3 linked regions of the Ovis aries genome follow. The protein of the gene in region 1 interacts with the protein of each later gene in a pairwise test. Links are inferred from orthologs where the notes say so. Each region holds a gene or a part of one and is shown in the gene's direction. Other genes may lie near its edges.

What was found.
Region 2: the proteins of TEX11 (region 1) and CDKN1A interact in binary tests that used the Homo sapiens proteins (3 or more experiments, as listed by UniProt). The link is inferred for Ovis aries from reciprocal best matches to the Homo sapiens genes TEX11 and CDKN1A.
Region 3: the proteins of TEX11 (region 1) and PPP1R18 interact in binary tests that used the Homo sapiens proteins (3 or more experiments, as listed by UniProt). The two-hybrid records come from large-scale screens. The link is inferred for Ovis aries from reciprocal best matches to the Homo sapiens genes TEX11 and PPP1R18.

Annotation. Positions count from the first base shown.
Region 1 is NC_056080.1:63,637,586-63,643,718, reverse strand, and holds the start of TEX11 (testis-expressed protein 11), read left to right. Parts: upstream 1-2,043; 5' UTR 2,044-2,107; intron 2,108-2,977; 5' UTR 2,978-2,998; coding exon 2,999-3,035; intron 3,036-6,133. UniProt on the Homo sapiens protein: Regulator of crossing-over during meiosis. Involved in initiation and/or maintenance of chromosome synapsis and formation of crossovers.
Region 2 is NC_056073.1:10,678,853-10,684,623, forward strand, and holds CDKN1A (cyclin-dependent kinase inhibitor 1), read left to right. Parts: upstream 1-2,223; coding exon 2,224-2,659; coding exon of another isoform or gene 2,660-2,856; exon of another isoform or gene 2,857-4,094; coding exon 4,095-4,144; downstream 4,145-5,771. UniProt on the Homo sapiens protein: Plays an important role in controlling cell cycle progression and DNA damage-induced G2 arrest. Involved in p53/TP53 mediated inhibition of cellular proliferation in response to DNA damage.
Region 3 is NC_056073.1:27,437,284-27,443,698, forward strand, and holds the start of PPP1R18 (phostensin), read left to right. Parts: upstream 1-2,488; 5' UTR 2,489-2,561; exon of another isoform or gene 2,562-3,213; intron 3,214-4,297; 5' UTR 4,298-4,324; coding exon 4,325-5,944; intron 5,945-6,415. Other genes in the region: NRM (nurim), read left to right, coding at 158-354, 959-1,135, 1,489-1,770.

The DNA of each region.
Region 1 (6,133 bases):
AAAGTGAAGTCGCTCAGTCATGTTCGACTCTTTGTGACCCCCATGGACAGTAGCCTGCACCAGGCTCTTCCGTCCATTGGAATTTCTAGGCAAGAGTACTGGAGTGGGTTGCCATTTCCTTCTCCAGGGAATCTTCCCGACCTGAATCTTCTCAGATGCTTTACAGTCTGAGCCACCAGGGAGTACCTACCATAGACGACCCCATAGACGGCAGCCCACCAGGCTCCCCCGTCCCTGGAATTCTCCAGGCAAGAGTACTGGAGTGAGTTGCCATTTCCTTCTCCAATGCATGAAAGTGAAAAGTGAAAGTGAAGTCATTCAGTCGTGTCTGACTCTTCGCGACCCCATGGACTGCAGCCTTCCAGGCTCCTCCGTCCAGGGGTTTTCCAGACAAGAGTACTGCAGTGGGATGCCAGTGCCTTCTCCGAATGATTTTTATTAGACTTCCCTGGTGGCTCAGACGGTAAAGCGTCTGTCTACAACGCAGGAGACCTGGGTTTGATCCCTGGGTCAGGAAGATTCCCTGGAGAAGGAAATGGCAATCCACTCCAGTACTCTTGCCTAGAAATTCCAATGGACGGAAGAGCCTGGTGCAGGCTACTGTCCATGGGGTCGCAAAGAGTCAGACACGACTGAGCGACTTCACTTTCACTTTTCGCTTTCACAGATGGGGAAATTGACGTACTGAGATTCTAAGTAGCTAGCTCTAGGCCACACAGTATGTAGTGCATATTCAGTCAATTATGGGATACTCTACTGCTTTTGGGCTTTCCAGGTGGCAAAGAATCCATCTGCTAATGCAGGAGATGCAGGTTTGATCCCTCCATCAGGAAAATCCCCTGGAGGAGGAAATACCATTCTAGTATTCTTGTTTGGAAAATCCCATGGACAGAGGAACTTGGTAGGCTACAGTTTATGGGGTCATAAAGAGTTGGACGCAACTAAGCAACTGAACACACACACACATTGCCCTTTTCTACCATATTTCTTCCCCTAATTTAGCAATCTAGGATTGTGAATTATATACCAGGGTTTAATAGAGGAGGATCCAAAAGAAAAGTATTTAACAGCAGTACTTTAAGTATTTAACAGCAGTACTTCCTGTTTTACTCCTTTTCTTCATGATACTATGTGATTTAGATGCAGAAAATTTTGAAGAGGGAAAAGAAATTATTTTTAGAAATCTCATCTTTTCCATAGTAAATAATGACTAATCTGAGACTCTCAGGGTTGCGAGGAAGCTCTGTTAGTGTTCCCAGATTTGAAGCCATAATCTCTTCTCTTCATCTTGTTAGCCAGCTCTGCATCTGGCTTGACTGAGATGTACAGGGCTTAAAAAAGGGGTATGTGAGGCAAGATGTGGGAGGCTTGTTAATGTTTTGATATGGGGTGTCTCCAAATATGGAGACATCATGTCTAACACTGCTGTCTCTGAGTGGAGATTTCAGCAGAGGCCAACTCCTTCCTTGCAAGCATCACCCATAGATTTAGCTGGAATCAAACATATTCATATATATATATTATACACCATCAATGAAATCATTTGTTTGGAGATGGGTAGGTGCCATGCCCTTGCTGTGAACCTGCAGGGGAGTCATTGGGTATTTTTCTTAAGACTTGACAAGGGCAGGGCAGCAGAAACATATCTTGGAACTCAGGGTTTTTCAGTCTCAACTTCTGATATTTCTGACCTTTGCTACTCTTGAATATCAGTGGGCAACATTGTTTATTTTACTTCCTTTTCTTTCCTTTCTTCCTCTCTCCTTTTTTTTTCTTTCGAAGACCTGCTCTCCTCTTTTCTGTAACCCTCACCATCTGCACTCTTCCCGTAGTAACTGCAGTATGTTTTAGTATTGCACTATACTCCCTCACTCTCAGTGATTCTCACCCAGCCCTCTGAACTGCATTCCCAGAACTTCATGTACAGACTGTGCCTGGAAGCTCAGGCTCTACATCCGTTCTGCGACGGCTCTGCGATTTACGTCCTTTGATTTACGTCACTTTGGGGGAGGAGCTTTCCTAGCGTCTCTTGTTCTCTTCTTCGACGACGACTCGACTCGCACTGTGGACTCGGAGGAGCACGGTGGCGTCGGCTTTGCCGGCTGATGTGAGTGATTTTTTTTTTTTGGTTGGAAGTGCTAGAGGAGGGTCAGGTACAAGTTAGTTGGGTGGTTTCTAATTAGCGAGGAGATGCTGCCGTTAGGTTACCACTTAAAAATATTTATTTTAATCAGAGGATCATTACCTTACAATATTATGATGGCCTCTGCCAGACATTAACATGAATCGGCCATAGGCAAATACTTTTTAAAGTGGTTCTAAGGCAGTGATTTTGAACTATGGAACTGACTCTTGGGTGAAGGAAGGTGGGCAAAAGGCAGGGTTTGGGGACATGGATGAAGTATGGACAGTGGTGTGGGGCCACCGAAAGTGGGAGATACTTATTGTAGTTCGAATGTGAAGGACTTAAAATTCGGTTGAAGCTGCATGGTTAGTGACTGTTGGGGGCAGGGAGCTGCATGGCTCGTGACCGTTGGGGGCAGGGAGCTGCATGGCTCGTGACCGTTGGGGGCAGGGAGCTGAGGCGCTAGCTGGGTCTGCAGAGAGCGGGAAAAAGGACGGTCAGTGATTGGATGCTTTGAAGGTATGAGCGCCAAGAGTGGGAGATTTTGAACCAATTAGAGGAGGCAACAAGAAGATAGACCAATCACAGGGTAACCCAAGCCCGGGGCGGAGGGGGAGGGCGGTTTTTGTGTCACGGGGCAGATTGTCCGAAGACTCGAGGTAAAAATATTCTCAGCCGAGTTCACGTCGCAGGAGCTTGACCCTGGCCTTCGTTAACTGCTATTTCTGGGTTTAAAAACTTCCTCAGCATTTTTTCTTTTGGAATAGAACTGAGAGGAAAAATTTGAAAAGAAATTTATTGCGACGCTGGAGAATAAAGGACAGAATATTAAAATATTTTCTTATTTCATAGGCCTGAGCCAGAGATTCCAAAATGGACAGCAATGATTTTCGTTTCATGGACTTTAAAGGTATCTAGCTTTACACTAGAAAATGTAAAAATAGTAAAGAAAATGTTTAACTATTTGCTGCCTTATCTAAGATCATCTGAATATATTTTGTTTCCTAATTTTGTCTCTTCAGAGTATTCGTAGCTCCAAGTTTCCTCATTTACGTATTGGAAAACAATGTTAATGTTTAAGACACTGGAATCCTTTTATAAACTAGTGTAGGGAAATAGAATTTCACAATTTATAGCTTGTTTTCTCGGGATTGTTGTGCGTGCATAGTAACACTGGTTTAATCTGAAATAGAAATCTGTGTTAAAAGGACATTTAAAAAATTACTGCTAGATCCTGAAGTACCTGTCCATAATCATCAGTGAAAAATAAATTATATCTTGTGTAGCATTAGGTTTAAGTGCATTTTATTGTATCTTAATTCTTTTGAAAATTGGTACTCAATGGATGATATTTGTGGGAATTCTTAGTTAAAAAAGCAGTTCAATTGACTAGAAAACCAGATTCCGCAACCATGCCAGGTATGGGAGAGTTTACCGTATTTCTTTTTTGCGGGGACATGATTAGACCTATGGTATATTTGCATTCATGTTCATATAATAATGAAATACGTCATAACCAGATTGGCTACAAATCTGTGATTTAAAAAAGTTTAGGTCAGTGTTTTGTTAATGCTTATCATTTTACAACAACAACAAAGCCCACTACCACTTAACCTTAAGTTTTAATTTAGGATATGCTATTTTAGGGCTTCGCTTGTGGCTCAGCTGGTAAAGAATCCGCCGGCAACTTGGGAGAACTTGGTTCGATCCCTGGGTTGGGAAGATCCCCTGGAGACAGGAATGGCTATCCACTCCAGTGTTCTGGCCTGGAGAATTCCATGGACTGTATAGTCCATGGGGTCACAAAAAGTTGGACAGGACTGAGTGACTTTCACTTTCATCTTAAGGGTTAAAAACATTGAATAGGGATTATTACTTTTAAATATATTGTATTTGAGACCTGGTATTTACATAAATATTTGAAGCACACAGAAAAGTTTAAGAATATAGTGAAGACCTGTAAAACTACCACTAAGTTTTGTTGAATCTTCATATTTTGCCACATACTTCTAAAAGATTGTGCTTAGTTGCTCAGTTTTGTCTGACTCTTTGCGACCCCATGAACTGTAGCCTGCCAGGCTCCTCTGTCCATGGGAATTATCTGGGCAAGAATATTGGAGTGGGTTGTGATACCCTCTTCTAGGGGATCTTCCCAACCTACGGATTGAACCCAGGTCTCCTGCCTTGCAGGTGGATTCTTTACCATCTGAGCCCCCAAGGACGCTCTCTAAAAGATTAAGGTGCCTTTTTTTCATCTTTGAAATATTACATAAATTGCATCATTTTATATGATTTTTTTTCCTGCAAGTTGTATTTTTTTTTTTTGCTCTGTATTATATTTTGGATATTTACCCATACAGATATTTTAGTTCTAGTTCATTTATTTACACTGCTTATTAGTATTATTACACTGACTATAAGTGTACCACAATTTATTTATCTAATCTCAACAGCATTACAACATTGTGTTTTGAAGAGTTTATCAGGAGCTTTCAAACATTTTTGACTACCACCAACACCTATGGAAAGGAAATATATTTTCCATCACATCTTGGTATATACACACTGTATCAAAAGTTTAATGAAATCATTTTACCCTTATTACATACAGTGCATGTGTATGTAATATTTTCTATTCTATGCTTTTTGAATGATATTTTCTATTCTATGCTTTCTCTTTTAAAAATGTAAATGTTGGTTATGACTCATTAAATTAATTTATTTCTTGAACACTAGTGGATGAAGCTCTAGGGCAGTGCTGTACAATTGAAACATAGTGCAAATGTAAAGAATTTTGTATTTTTTGTACCACATTAAAAAAGCTTAAACAGATGAAATCAATTTTAACAATATAAATTATTTAGCTCAGTATATCCAAAATGCTATCATTTCAACATGTAATCAATATAAAAATTATTAATGAAATAGTTTACATTCTTTTTCTTTTCTATTCAAAATCATTGAAGTCTAGTATGTATTTTATACTTAAAGCATGTCTCATTTTGGACTTGCCACATTTCAAGTGCTCATATGGCTAGTGGCTACCCTGTAGTGGCAGTGCTACTCTGGATTGTAATTAAGAACTTGAACTGCTGGGTGAAATGCTGTAAGCATCTTTAACTTAACAAATATTGCTGAATCGTTGTCAAAAGTAGGTTGAACAATTTATACTGCCTCTTCCTTTCTCTTTCCCTATTGTTCTTTCTAATATTTGCTTTTGTCAGACTTAAAAAATTGTGCATGATTGAAGGGTGGTGTTGTTTTTAAGTAACATTTTATTTTAGGACAGTTTTAGATTTACAGAGTAGTTACAGAGAGAGTATAGAGAGTTCTTAGATACTCCTCAGCCAGTTCCATTTGCTCTAATGTTTTACATTGCTCTAATGTATTACATGGATGTTTTAATTTGCATATCTGTTAAGTAGCAAAGTTGGGTATATTTTCATATATTTTCCATTTGAGTTTTATCTTCTGTGTGCATAACCTTTTCAGTCAAGTTTTATAAAATTGGATCACAAAAGGCCATATGATGGCTTAGCTTATTTTCTTCTCAGGGAGAATTGACATAACATCTGTCTTTTTATATCAACAATTCTAGTCAGTTTCAAGGCCAAAAAGGAACAGAAATTGGTCTAAATTATACTCATTGTGTCTAAATAATTGTAACTCCTTTTCTGCATGTCAGCTCTTCAACTATTTAAAAATACTTCTGTCCCTGGAAAGTCTCTTCTTCAGATTCAGCATTTTTAGTTCTTTTAGTCATTCCTCATGTTACGTGGATTCTAGTCCTCTCATCATTTTGTGTGCTGTCCTCTGAACATGCTCTGTTCTTTTCATGTTATTTCTTAAAGTATGGTACACAGAACACAACACAATTCTCTCAGTTCAGTATGATAAGCTCAAAATAATCTTTTGCTTTAGATTTAGAAATGATCATTGTTGTCGTTAGATACTGTTATAGCTAAGATTGAATTTTTTTTCCTTTTTTTGGGAGCTGGCAATCACACC
Region 2 (5,771 bases), on another chromosome or scaffold:
CACCAGCATGCAGAACACAGGGCATTCGGGGCTGGGTTCAAATCCTGACTGTGCCACTGGTGAGCTGTGTGACCTTGGGAAACTTACTTAATTTCTCTGAGCCTTGGTTACCTCTTCCGTAAAAGAGCTGATATAGCCATTTCTTCTGAAAATTAATATCCATAAACTTTTTTACAACAGCCCTTGGCTCATAAAATGTGTAAATAAGTCTCAGTCCTTATCCCTGAAGAGAGTGAGCAAAGGTTATTTATGGGCTTTGTCCACTGTGCTGTGTAACCCCTCTCTCTATGTGGTATGTGGCAGCTTGAGTAGACGCTATTGATCTTTTTAACCGTGTGGGTTCAGGGCAAGTCTTAAAACTCCTGCCCTTTAAACTCGGTCAGAGGTCATCTAGTGCCCTCCCCTCCCCTGTGTGCTGAGACTTGGAGCTGTGGGCTTCACTCACTGTGAGAGGTGGAGTGGGGACAGGTAGGTATGGTGTGGGTCCAGGGCTGCTTGCCCCAGGAGGACCCTCAGCAGGGCTTTCACCTTCAGAGCCTGCAAATCAGGACGTGTCCCCAGGAAAACCCAGTCCCTGTTAAAGTCATGCAGGTGCTCAGACCTGGAGTCAAGCCAGAGCCGGGCAGGGAGGTGCCAGCACCCCCTCATGGGCAGGCTCACCTTCAGTGTTCCCTCTCCTTTAGTTTTCCCTCTCCCACTTTAGTGGGAGGAGAGGAGCCAGGTAGACCGGTGCCTTTAATTTTCTTTGCCTGCAAAACGGGTTCCTTGGATGCAGGCAGAATGGGGCAGGGGCTTCCAGGTTGTCTAGACTTCAGGTCACCTGATGTACCTGGCAGGATGTGGCTCAGCCTGGGAGAAATCATTGCTCTGCCCTGCCCTGCCTGGCTCCTCCTTACCCGCAGGCTGCCTGCCTGATGACATCCTTGGGAAAGGCCCTCAGCCCACAACACCTGTCAGCTGCTGTCTGAAGGAGGCGGTGGCCCAGGTGGAGTGATGGGGAGGAGTCAGCCAGAACTAAAGGCAGAGAGAAATAATATTCTCCAAACACTTTCTCTGTACTTGGTACGGCTCAGAGGGCGTTATCTACAACCGCTTAGCGAATTCTCACATCTGGCCTCTGAGACAGTCGCTGTTGTTATCTCCTTCTAGAAATGACACCAGAAATAGATGTCCCTTTCATCATAGGCGACTGGAATGTAAAAGTAGGAACTCAGGAGGTACCTGGAGTTACAGGCAAGTTTAGCCTTGGAGTACAAAGTGAAGCAGGGCAAATGGAGTTTTGCCAAGGGAACGCACTAGTTACAGCAAACACCCTCGTCCAACATACACAAGAGACAACTCTACACATGGAAATCTCCATCTTATACAGGAGGAAAACAGAACCCAGAGAAGTTAAGCCACTTGTCGAAGGTTGCCCAGCAGAGCCTGGATTCCAACCCAAGTGGCCTGGTTCCAAAGCCCTCACCTTGAACCACCAAGATACAGCCGTTGAACTCTGCTCCATCTGCCTTGCCTGGCGGGGCCCGCCAATCATTTCCTTGAGCCTGCGTCTACAGCCCCACTCTTTAGACATGTATGCAGTCCCATTTTACAGATGAGGAAACTGAGGCCGGGGGACTTGAAGTGACTCTTTGAAAGTTGAGGTAGGAAGTGGCAGAGCGAGGACTAGAACCCAGGTGCTTTTAACCCCAAAATCCAGAGTAGTTTTAAGTCACTGAGCAGGATTACTCCACATGAGCATCTAGATGGAGGGATTTGAGAGGAGGCATCCATTTTCTTGGGAATTGACCTCCCCGGCCAGGCCTGGAGTTAGGAAACTGCTGGACTCTGACAATTCACACATACCTGGGGGCATTCACACCCATGAGGGACACCTCAGTGGGAAAAACAAATTGATTTTAGCTGATAACACCCAGTGGTAAACAGGACCCTGATCCCTGCTATTGCAATAAACTTGCCTTTGTTGACATAAACTTGCCCTTCAGCTGCCCACTCCCCCAGTGACCTGGGGGTGTCAGGCTGACTGACTCTGCCCCTCACACCCTTTCTGTGGGTGGAGGTTGGGAGAGCCTGTGGGAGGAACCCGAGAGCCCCTCTCACCTCACTTTCTAGTAAGGAGACTGCGCCTGAGGTTACGCAGTGGCATGGCCCAGAGAGGGAGCGTCCGACTTCCTGAGTGTCTCACGTGCCCCGGGTCTTCCTTGTGTTCCAGCCACAGGTGCCATGTCTGAGCCGTCCAGGGACGCGCATCAGATCCCCCGCAGCAGCAAGGCCTGCCGCTGCCTCTTTGGTCCAGTGGACAGCGAGCAGCTGCGCCAGGACTGCGACGCCCTCATGGCCAGCTGCGTGCAGGAGGCCCGAGAGCGATGGAACTTCGACTTTGTCACCGAGACGCCCCTGGAGGGGGACTTTGCCTGGGAGCGTGTGAGGGGCCTCGGCCTGCCCAAGCTCTACCTGCCCGTGGGGCCCCGAGACGATGTGGGAGGGGGCAAGCGGCCGAGCCCCTCATCCGCCCTGCTGCAGGGCACGTCTCAGGAGGACCACTTGGACCTGTCGCTGTCCTGCACCCTCGTGACTCGCTCCCCTGAGCGGCCCGAGGGGACCCCTGGTGGGCCTGGTCCCTCCCAGGGCCGGAAACGGCGCCAGACCAGCATGACAGGTGAGGACGGGAGCAGAGGTGGCGGCAAGGGATTAGGACTCCCAGAACTCACTGTGCCAGGGCTGACCTGTCTGGCCCAGCTTACTCATCGCTCTGAGGGGTGGGAAACAGGCCCAGAGAGGGGAAGTGGCTTGCCTGAGGTCACACAGCAAGTCTACTACCAAGACCAATTAGCTGACATTTATTTGGAACATTGACTATGTGCCAGGACCTTTGATAAGTGTCTAGATTTCTTTTAGTCCTTATAGTGATCTAATATCATAGGACATTCTTGGCATCCTTTTACAGGCAAAGGAACAGGACTCTGAGAGGTAGAATGGTTTGCCTTAGGTCCCACACTGAATTTACCATGGAGAGTAAATGAATGATAATTTCCTGGCTGCCTTATCCAAACCTAACTCGCCTTCCCCTTCATACATACACACCTTCACCTGCACTTCCTAGCCTATTTTTCTCTTTTTGGCACTTTTTAAACTATCAACAGCTACTTCCATATTTTGATATAGTCCATCTTCCCAAATAGAATCCTATCATCTCCACAAGAAAGAAATCTGTATCTCTCTTGTTCATAATTGAGTCCTCAGCACCTTGGATGGTGTGTGACACATAGTAGGTGCTTGAGGGAAATGGAATAAGTGAGGCTGGCAGTTGAACACTATGCCAGGCCTTCAGCCAACGTCTTTTTATTTTTTACTTTACAAATGTATTACTGTTATTATTTTGGCTGTACGGCTTGTGGGATCTTAATTCCCTGAGCAAGGACAGAACCCAGGCCACCTCTGTTGAGCGCAAGGAGTCTTAGCCACTGGACCACCAGGGAAGTCCCCACCAAGGTCTTTCCGGAAACATTTCATTTAATCCTCTGAGCATCGTACCAGCGTTATCCTCATTTTATAGGTGAGGAAATGGAAGCTTGGAGCAGTGCAGCCAAGAATCCCACAGCACATTTGCAGCTGGGTCAAAACTAACAATAATGATAATAATAATAACTAACCTTTATATGGCTCAGACATCATGCAGAACGCTCTCTGATATATCAGGCTCTGCAAAGAAGCAGATGCCCAGTACCGCTGGCCACATATCACTGCTGAGTGTTTGCCATGAGGAACTAAATTTTTCTATTAGTCTAATGCTAGTTAATTTAAACAGCCGCCTAGGGTTAGCGACCACTGCATTTGGGCAGCTTGGCTTAAAGCAGGCCCATGCATGTAAAGTCTGTTATTGATCACGTCTGTGAAGCGTGGGGGGATGTCCTGTATGTATGTAGCCCTCCGGGAGAGAGGCTAGAAGTTTCCAGAGTTCTTCCCTATACTTGGCAATGTGTCTCTCGGGCCCTGGGGAGGGGTCCCTGGCCCCTCTGCAGGTTGCACTGCGCAGGTGGCTCTGCTGGGCCCTCTTCCTCCTGACCTGGCTGACATCTGTTCTCTCCCCCCAGATTTCTACCACTCCAAACGCAGGCTGATCTGCTCCAAGAGGAAGCCCTAACCCCGCTGCTGGAAGCACGTCCTCGTGGAAACAGGGGCCCACTGCAGGCCTCTTCTGTACCTTTTGCCTTGGTCCTTCAGTTTGTGCGTCTTAATTATTATTTGTGTTTTAATTTAAACGCCTCCTCTTGTACATACCCTGCTTGCTGCCACCCTTCCCACACCCCCAGCCTCTGGAATTATTTAAAAAAGAAAAAAATTAGCAGAAAAAATAGGCTTATTAGATTGCTAGGTATTTTTATTATATGAACCGTTATTTAAACCCTCCTCATTCTTTGCTCGGAGAAGGCAATGGCACCCCACTCCAGCACTCTTGCCTGGAAAATCCCATGGGCGGAGCAGCCTGGTAGGCTGCAGTCCATGGGGTCGCTAAGAGCTGGACACGACTGAGCAACTTCACTTTCACTTTTCACTTTCATGCATTGGAGAAGGAAATGGCAACCCACTCCAGTGTTCTTGCCTGGAAAATCCCATGGGCGGAGCAGCCTGGTAGGCTGCAGTCCATGGGGTCGCTAAGAGCTGGACACGACTGAGCAACTTCACTTTCACTTTTCACTTTCATGCATTGGAGAAGGAAATGGCAACCCACTCCAGTGTTCTTGCCTGGGGAATCCCAGGGACGGGGGAGCCTGGTGGGCTGCCATCTATGGGGTCACACAGAGTCGGACACGACTGAAGTGACTTAGCAGCAGCAGCAGCATCCTTTGCTTTCCTCGTCCTCGCTCCTCTGAGGCTGGCGTGACCCCCATCCTCTGGGTGGCACTCTCTGGAGGGGCCTGGTTCCCTCCCCCCTGCCATCTGATGGGTGTTACGAAGTCTCGCCCCCTCTTTCCTGCATTCTCAGACCTGAATTCCTTACAATCTGAGAAGTAAATAGATAGCACTTTGAAGGGGGCCCAACAGAGTTGGAGGCATCATCAAAACTTTGGGTTCCCCTTGCCCCTCTAAGGTTGGGCAGGGTGACCCTGAAGTGGGCACAGCCTGGAAATGGGGCTGCGGGATTGGACACCCTTCTGGCCCTTGATTCCCACCTCCGTCCTGTGAAGGCATGGGGAAGGTAGGGGCCCGTAGCAAACCACCCCTGCCTCCCACCCCCCCACCCCCATCCTCAGGGGAGCCAATCTCAGTGTTTGGCTTCCCTGTCCCCTGCATTTTTCCAGGAGCCCCAGAGGCCCCTGTTTCCCAGCCAGGCTCTCAGTCCCTCTCTGCTCCTCTCCCTTCCTCCATGCCCTTTCCCTTTAGTATCTTCTCAGCCCTGGGTGGCAGCTCTGAGGGGGTGCCCTAACCCCCAACTCAGTGGACTGGTGGAGGAAAGGACATGCTAGACATAGGGTTCCCCAGTTCTACCTCAAGCAGCGACTGCCCCCTGCTCTTAGCTCTTGGGGTGGGGGGTCCTGGGTGGTCAGGCAGGCCTCCTTGAATGGGGATCTCTCTGTGTTAGGGGTAGGTGGGTGAGGAGCAGATTTTTCCAGGAGGGACAGTGTGACACCAGCCCCTGGAACTCGTCCAAGGACTTTTTCCATTGGCCCCACCCCTTCCCCCATTTCATTGCACTTTGAATAACAGCTGAAGGAGTCAGATGGCGGGAACAGAGGCTGTGGATAGGATATGCTAAGTGGGCAAATATG
Region 3 (6,415 bases), on another chromosome or scaffold:
GGAATAGCAAAGTGAGGTGGGCAAAGCCTAGAGAGGAAGTGATAAGGCTCTTGAAAGCATTAAGGGACATGGCCTGGGGTCCCCAAGAGGAGGTGAAGGTAGAGAGTGTTTCCCACAGTCTTCTTGATCTTTTGTACCTTTTTCCAACTCCCGCTAGATGCCCGCCAGGGATGGCTGGCTGCCCTGCAGGACCAAAGCATCCTTGTCCCGCTGGTTTGGGATCTGGGGCTCCTGTTACTGTTTGTGGGGCAGCACAGCCTCATGGCAACTGAGACCGTGAAGGAATGGATGTCCCGGTACTTTGGGGTCCTTCAGAGGTCACTGTACGTGGCATGCACTGCCCTGGCCTTGCAGGTATGAAGCCCTGGCAGCTGAGTCCTCAAGGGAAACAGCATGTGTGAAGGATGTCATTGATTGGAGCTGCAAGAACCTCAGGCTTCGGATAAAGTGTGGGTTTAGGAGGAGAACTGAGGGTGTTCAGGACTAGTCTCAGCTCCCGTTATTTCACAGCACACATTTCTCCTTTTTATCAAGAAGTATGTACTGCTTGTCATCCCCTACGCATGATGTGTGCATTCTCACCTTTGCAACTTCGTTCCTGTTGTCCCGCTTGAGAGTGCCTTGGTAACACCTCTTCAGTCTTATCCTTTCTTCAAAAGCACTTCCCTAGATCTCAAGAGAAAGCTTCCCGGTTAGTACTCACCTGTCTCCTCAGTGGGTGCTTGGCATAGGCTATTTTGTGTGCCTATGTGGTCACCCTCATCCATTCTCTAAGTCCTCAGAGTGGAGACAAGTCATTCTTACATCCTTAGGACCCCACCCAGCACCCTCCACATGGTGAACATGCTCATGATAGAGGTGGGGGGAACAGCTGGCCAGCCTGGACTGGAGGCAGCCCCTGGGTCTGGGTCTGTCAAGGGTGGGCTGCTGGGAAACCCAGTTCCTCTTCCTTCCTCAGCTGGTGATGCGGTACTGGGAGCCTGTGCCCAGGGGTCCTGTGTTGTGGGAGGCTCGGGCTGAGCCATGGGCCACTTGGGTGCCCCTCCTCTGCTTTGTCCTCCACGTCATTTCCTGGCTCCTCATCTTCAGCATCCTTCTCGTCTTCGACTACGCAGAGCTCATGGGCCTGAAACAGGTGAGGCTCCCAGATCCCTACCCAAGACATCTGATCCTTTCTAGAATACCTCTTTCCCCTCCAAGGATGTCCCTGTGCCTCCCATTGTCTTCCACCTGCCTCTTGTTTTTGAGCCCTTCACCTCCCTTTCTTATAAGACAGTCTCCCCCCAGCCCTCCCTCAAAGGCTAGGAATCATGGGCTTCTTGGGCCTGGGAAGGTTCATGGGCCAGAGATGAGGGTCAGGGACCTCCAGTCTCAGGAGGGTGGTTCCTGAGCCTGTCATAGAAGGAGGGTGCCCAGGACGGGAGGAAAGAGGCAGTTAAGTTGTGACAAGGGCTTGGCTCCATTCCTAAGCCATTCTCCCTCTGCTAGGTGTACTACCATGTGCTGGGGCTGGGCGAGCCTCTGGCCCTGAAGTCGCCCCGGGCTCTGAGACTCTTCTCCCACCTGCGCCATCCAGTGTGCGTGGAGCTGCTGACAGTGCTATGGGTGGTACCCACCCTGGGCACTGACCGCCTGCTCCTTGCTCTCCTCCTTACCCTCTACCTGGGCCTGGCTCACGGACTGGACCAGCATGATCTCCGCTATCTCCGGGCCCAGCTACAAAGAAAACTCCACCTGCTCTCCCGGCCCCAGGATGGGGAGGCCGAGTAAGGGGTTAACCCTGGTTGCAAGCCCTGTACTTCCTCTCTCCCTCCTATCCCAAATTCCCTTAACATCTAGGCCTTGGCTGCTTCAGACCAGAGGCCCAAATCCATGGACTGAAGGAGTGGTCCCTTTCCTTGCTTGAGCCTCCACTCCTTGGTTCCAGCTCCATACTGAATTTCAGCCATTGGACTCCAAGGGCCACTTCTCACCAGCCAGGAAGGAGTGGCTGGGAACTTCTTCTCACAGTTCAGGGCTTGACCCTCCGTTAACAATTTCCTCACCAAGAGAAGAGTCTGGCTTGACCACTCCCTTAGCCCTGTTACTACCCTCTGTGCCTCAGGGATCCTTTCTCCACGTCTAGCTCCCTCCCAGGGGCTGGACCGAGGCCCACTGTCTGGCCTTTTCAGCTCCCTAGGCCCCGACCCTAGGCTCCATCCTCCTGAACCTAGTTGAGCGGTTTCTCCCGTTCTTAGCTAAGGTGACTAGAGGCTCCCTGCTTTCCCGAGGAACTCACGCTACAGGAAAATAAAATTCAGTCTGGTTTTTCTACGTGTAGAATGCAGTCTGTCAGTGTCTCTCAAAGCTGCAGGGCTGGCTCTGGGAAAGGCGAGTTACATTGGAGTCTGGGCATCGGCCGCGCCTTCTGGTGACCGCTGGGCGGCGGCCACTCCCCGCGCACCCAGCCCTCCACCCCCTTCCCGGAGCACCCGGTCCCCCTTCCTCCAAATCTCCCAATTTCCTTGCTGCAGACCCGGGTGGGGGACGGGCTGAAACGGAAGAGTGGGGAGACGGTTCGGGTAAGGGAGCGAGCTTCCGAAACCGTTGTCTTCCCAGCCCTGCTCCTGTGGCCGCCCCCTCCCCACGGGCCCCGCAAGCGCCCCCACGGTAACAAAGGCTGGCCCGGGAAGGCAAAAGCGTGGGGAGGAGCGGCAGGAGATGGGAAGGGCGGGCCCGGCTCCGAGCAGCTGCCGCTTCCTCCCGAAGTCCCTCGAGGGGTCTGAGTCACGGGCCGCCGCCCCGGCTTGGCTAGCTGGGGGTGGGGGTCTGGACACCTGGGCTGTCCAGGGTTACCGGGCGGCAGCCGCGTGAGAGGCCCTGGGGAAGGACCGCGGAGTGCCGGGGATCGCGGCGGGAAAACAGGAGTCCCGGGGCCGAGGATCCACGCGGGGGACCCGGGGAGCGAGGCTCCGCCCCCGCGCCCGGCTCCGCCCAGCGCCCCCTTCCCTCTCCCCATTGTCCTCAGACAAAGCGGCGGCCGCCCCCCGCTCGGCCCCCGGGTCTGTCTCCGTCCCTCCCCTTCTCCTCCCTTCCCCCCTCCCGCGCCCCCCGCGCCCCCCCCCACCTCCTGCCCCGGATCTCCCTCTATCCCTCTCTCCTCCTCTTCCTCTCTCCTCCTCTCTCCGGACGTCAGGCTCCTTCGCACCCCCTCCCCCGGGAGCCCCGCGGCATGTGAGTTGACCCAGGGGCTTCAGACTTGGGGAGGGGGTGTCCCCTCCCTTCCGTCCCGGGCGCGGACCTCGGGCTGCCTCTCCTCTCTTTGTGCCGAGATTGCCCGTCAGTGCGGTCATAGCCGGGTGGGGACGGCTGGCGAGGTCGGGGTTCCATGAGCGCCGAGACCCCGGCGCGAGACTGGCCGGCTCCGGAGAGAAGCGGTGTGGAGCCGGTGCTCCGTACGCCTGAGGCGCTCGCTCGCCCGGGACCCCGGGGCATCGCCGGTGGGGGAGGCCGGCGGCGGGGCCCGGACCGGGTTAGGGTTGGTGGGGGGTGGACGCCAGGGTTCTGGGAACGAGCTGGCAGCTCCGATCGCCGGGTTCCGAAAGTCCCCGGGGGAGGGTATTTCCCCTGGCCCGCCCCGGGGCGGAGTGCAGGGCGGAGGGGTGGGGGCTGGGGGGTCTGAGAGGCGTGGCTCAAGCGGAGCTGGAAGGGGAGCCCGGACCTCCGGGGCCCGCGCCGAGACTCGCCCGGCTACAGCCGCCGAGCTCCCTCGCCCCTCTGCCCCCGATTCCCCCTTCTCCCCTGGACCTGTCCACTCTCCGCCCTCCCACCTTCCCGACACCCCTTCAGGTCCCACTGCCCCCTCTCCGCCGGGGATCCCGCTGACCTCGCTTCCCACTCCCGCCGCTCCTGAGGTAGCGGTCAGGCAACCTCGGTCGGATCCTGCCCCGCTCACCCCCAGCCTCTCTTCTCTCTTCTCCCTCGTGCCAGCTTCTTTCGTTTTTCCCTCTTCTCACAACCTGGGGACTGTCTCTGATGCCCAGTAACCTGTACCCACAAATCTGACTCCTGTCTCTTTGCCCTGAATCTCCACTGTTCCTCTCGACCCACCTCCCCCAACCCCATCACCTGGCTCTTAGTTTCCTCTTCACTTTCTCAGGTTTTCCCCTTTCTCTGCTCCCCTCCGCCGCCCCCTTTCCTACTGTCCTCACCCTCAGCTCCTCTGTGACCCACCTCTCCCCCTGCTTCCTCTCCCCCACCCCCATTCTCACCTCCTGGGCCCCTCTGGAGCCTCTCCTTCCTGTTCTCTGCCCCCCAGCGTTCCCCCACCCTCCCCAAGGCGACCATGGCCACCATCCCAGACTGGAAGCTACAGCTGCTAGCCCGGCGCCGGCAGGAAGAGGCAGCCGTTCGCGGCCGTGAGACGGCAGAGCGGGAGCGGCTGTCGCAGATGCCAGCCTGGAAGCGGGGCCTTCTGGAGCGCCGCCGGGCCAAGCTTGGTCTGTCTCCTGGGGAGCCTAGCCCTGCGCCTGGGACTACGGAGGCTGGACCTCCAAACCCAGACGAGTCTGCTGTCCTCCTGGAGGCCATTGGGCCTGTGCACCAGAACCGATTTATCCGGCAAGAGCGCCAGCAGCAGCAGCAGCAGCAGCAGCAGCAGCAACAGCAGCGGAGTGAAGAGCTACTCACGGACAAACGGCCTGGACCTTTGGAGACCCGGGGGCGGAGACCCAGCCCCGGGGAGACACGGGATCCCAGCCCCAAGGGAAGAGAGTCCAGGGAAGAGCGGCTCAGTCCTAGGGAGGCCAGAGAGAAGAGGCTGGGGATAGGGGGCGCTCGAGAGTCGAGCCCCAGGCCTTTGGAGTCTCGGGACTGGAGGCAGAGCCCAGGAGAGGCTGGAGACAGGAGCTCTAGACTGTCAGAGGTGCGGAAATGGAGGCTGAGCCCTGGAGAAACTCCTGAGCGGAGTTTGAGACTGGCAGAGCCCCGAGAACAAAGCCCCAGGAGAACAGAGGTGGTGGACAGTAAACGGAGCCCCGAAGAGTCTGACAACCAGAAGCTGGGCCTGACAGACTCCCATAAATGGAGGCCTGACCCCAAAGAGTCTCCGGGACAGAGTTTGGGACAACTGGAGGCATCAGAGTGGAGGCCGAGTTCAGGAGAAGAAAGAAAAGACTGCTCAGAGGAATGGGGGAGAAAAGACGAGAGGCCGATTCCAAGAATGGACCCAGAAGGGACCACAGCGTCGTCAGAGACCCCAACAAGGGAGGCTCCAGACAGTCGCTCTGCAGGACCAGAGGGAGCAGAAGAAAGGCCCAGCCCCGTAGAGGATGGCGAGAGGGGCCTGCGGCCCCCGGAAGGATGGAAATGGACCCTGAACTCTGGGAAGGCCCGAGACTGGACACCCAGGGACACAGAGCCTCAGCCCCAGAAACCAGACACTCCAGAGTCTGTTGAGAAGCACGTGGGTCCTTTGGGTGCAGAGGCTGAGAAGGAGGAGGCGGGCGCTCAGAGCAGGCCTCTGGGCGCCCTGCAGGACCGCTGCTCTGCGCCCTCCCCCCTCTCCCCAGAGGACGCCGGGACTGGAGCCTCTAGACGGCAGGAAGAGGAAGCAGGGGAACTCCGGCCCCCACCCGCAGCCCCTCTGTCTCCCCCACCCCCAGCCCCACCTGCCCCCCAGTCCCTTGGGGATCCCCTCATGAGCCGGCTCTTCTACGGGGTGAAGGCAGGGCCAGGGGTGGGGGCCCCCCGCCGCAGCGGACACACCTTCACAGTCAACCCCCGGCGGTCCGCGCCCCCTGCAGCCCCTGCCACTCCAGCCGCCCCAGCCACAGCTGACACGGCGGTCCCTGGGGCTGGGAAGAAGCGGTACCCGACTGCCGAGGAGATCTTGGTTCTGGGGGGCTACCTCCGCCTCAGCCGCAGCTGCCTTGTCAAGGGGTCCCCTGAAAGGCGCCACAAACAGGTAGGGAGCAGCCAACCCAGACTTCTTGGCCAGCCCCCCATCACTGCTCTGTGGACTCCTGTCTCTCTCCCTTTTTTTATACCTCTGTATCCTTGTCTTCATCTATTCTTGTTCATTCCTGCTGCCACCCTTCCTCCCCTGAACACACACCCTTCCTTCTTGTGGCCCTTCTTTTCCATTCATTTCCCAGCCCAAGGAGCCTGCTCCGCAATCAGGCTCGCTGTCCTGGGTGTGTCTCTCTCAGGGTGTGCCCAGGCTCCTCACTCTTCTCTCCCTCAGGCTCTGAGTTCACCCCCCCATGCTTTCCATTCCCGAGTCTCTGACCCAGCCCAGCCCATCTGGGTGGGAGACCAGAATTGAGGCCACAGCCTGGAATCTATGGGGGCAGGGTCTGCAGGGCAAAAGTGGGCAAAAGAATGCTGGGGTAGGAAGCCTGGGGAGGCAGAGGGGTTCGGGTTTTAGGGAGAAATG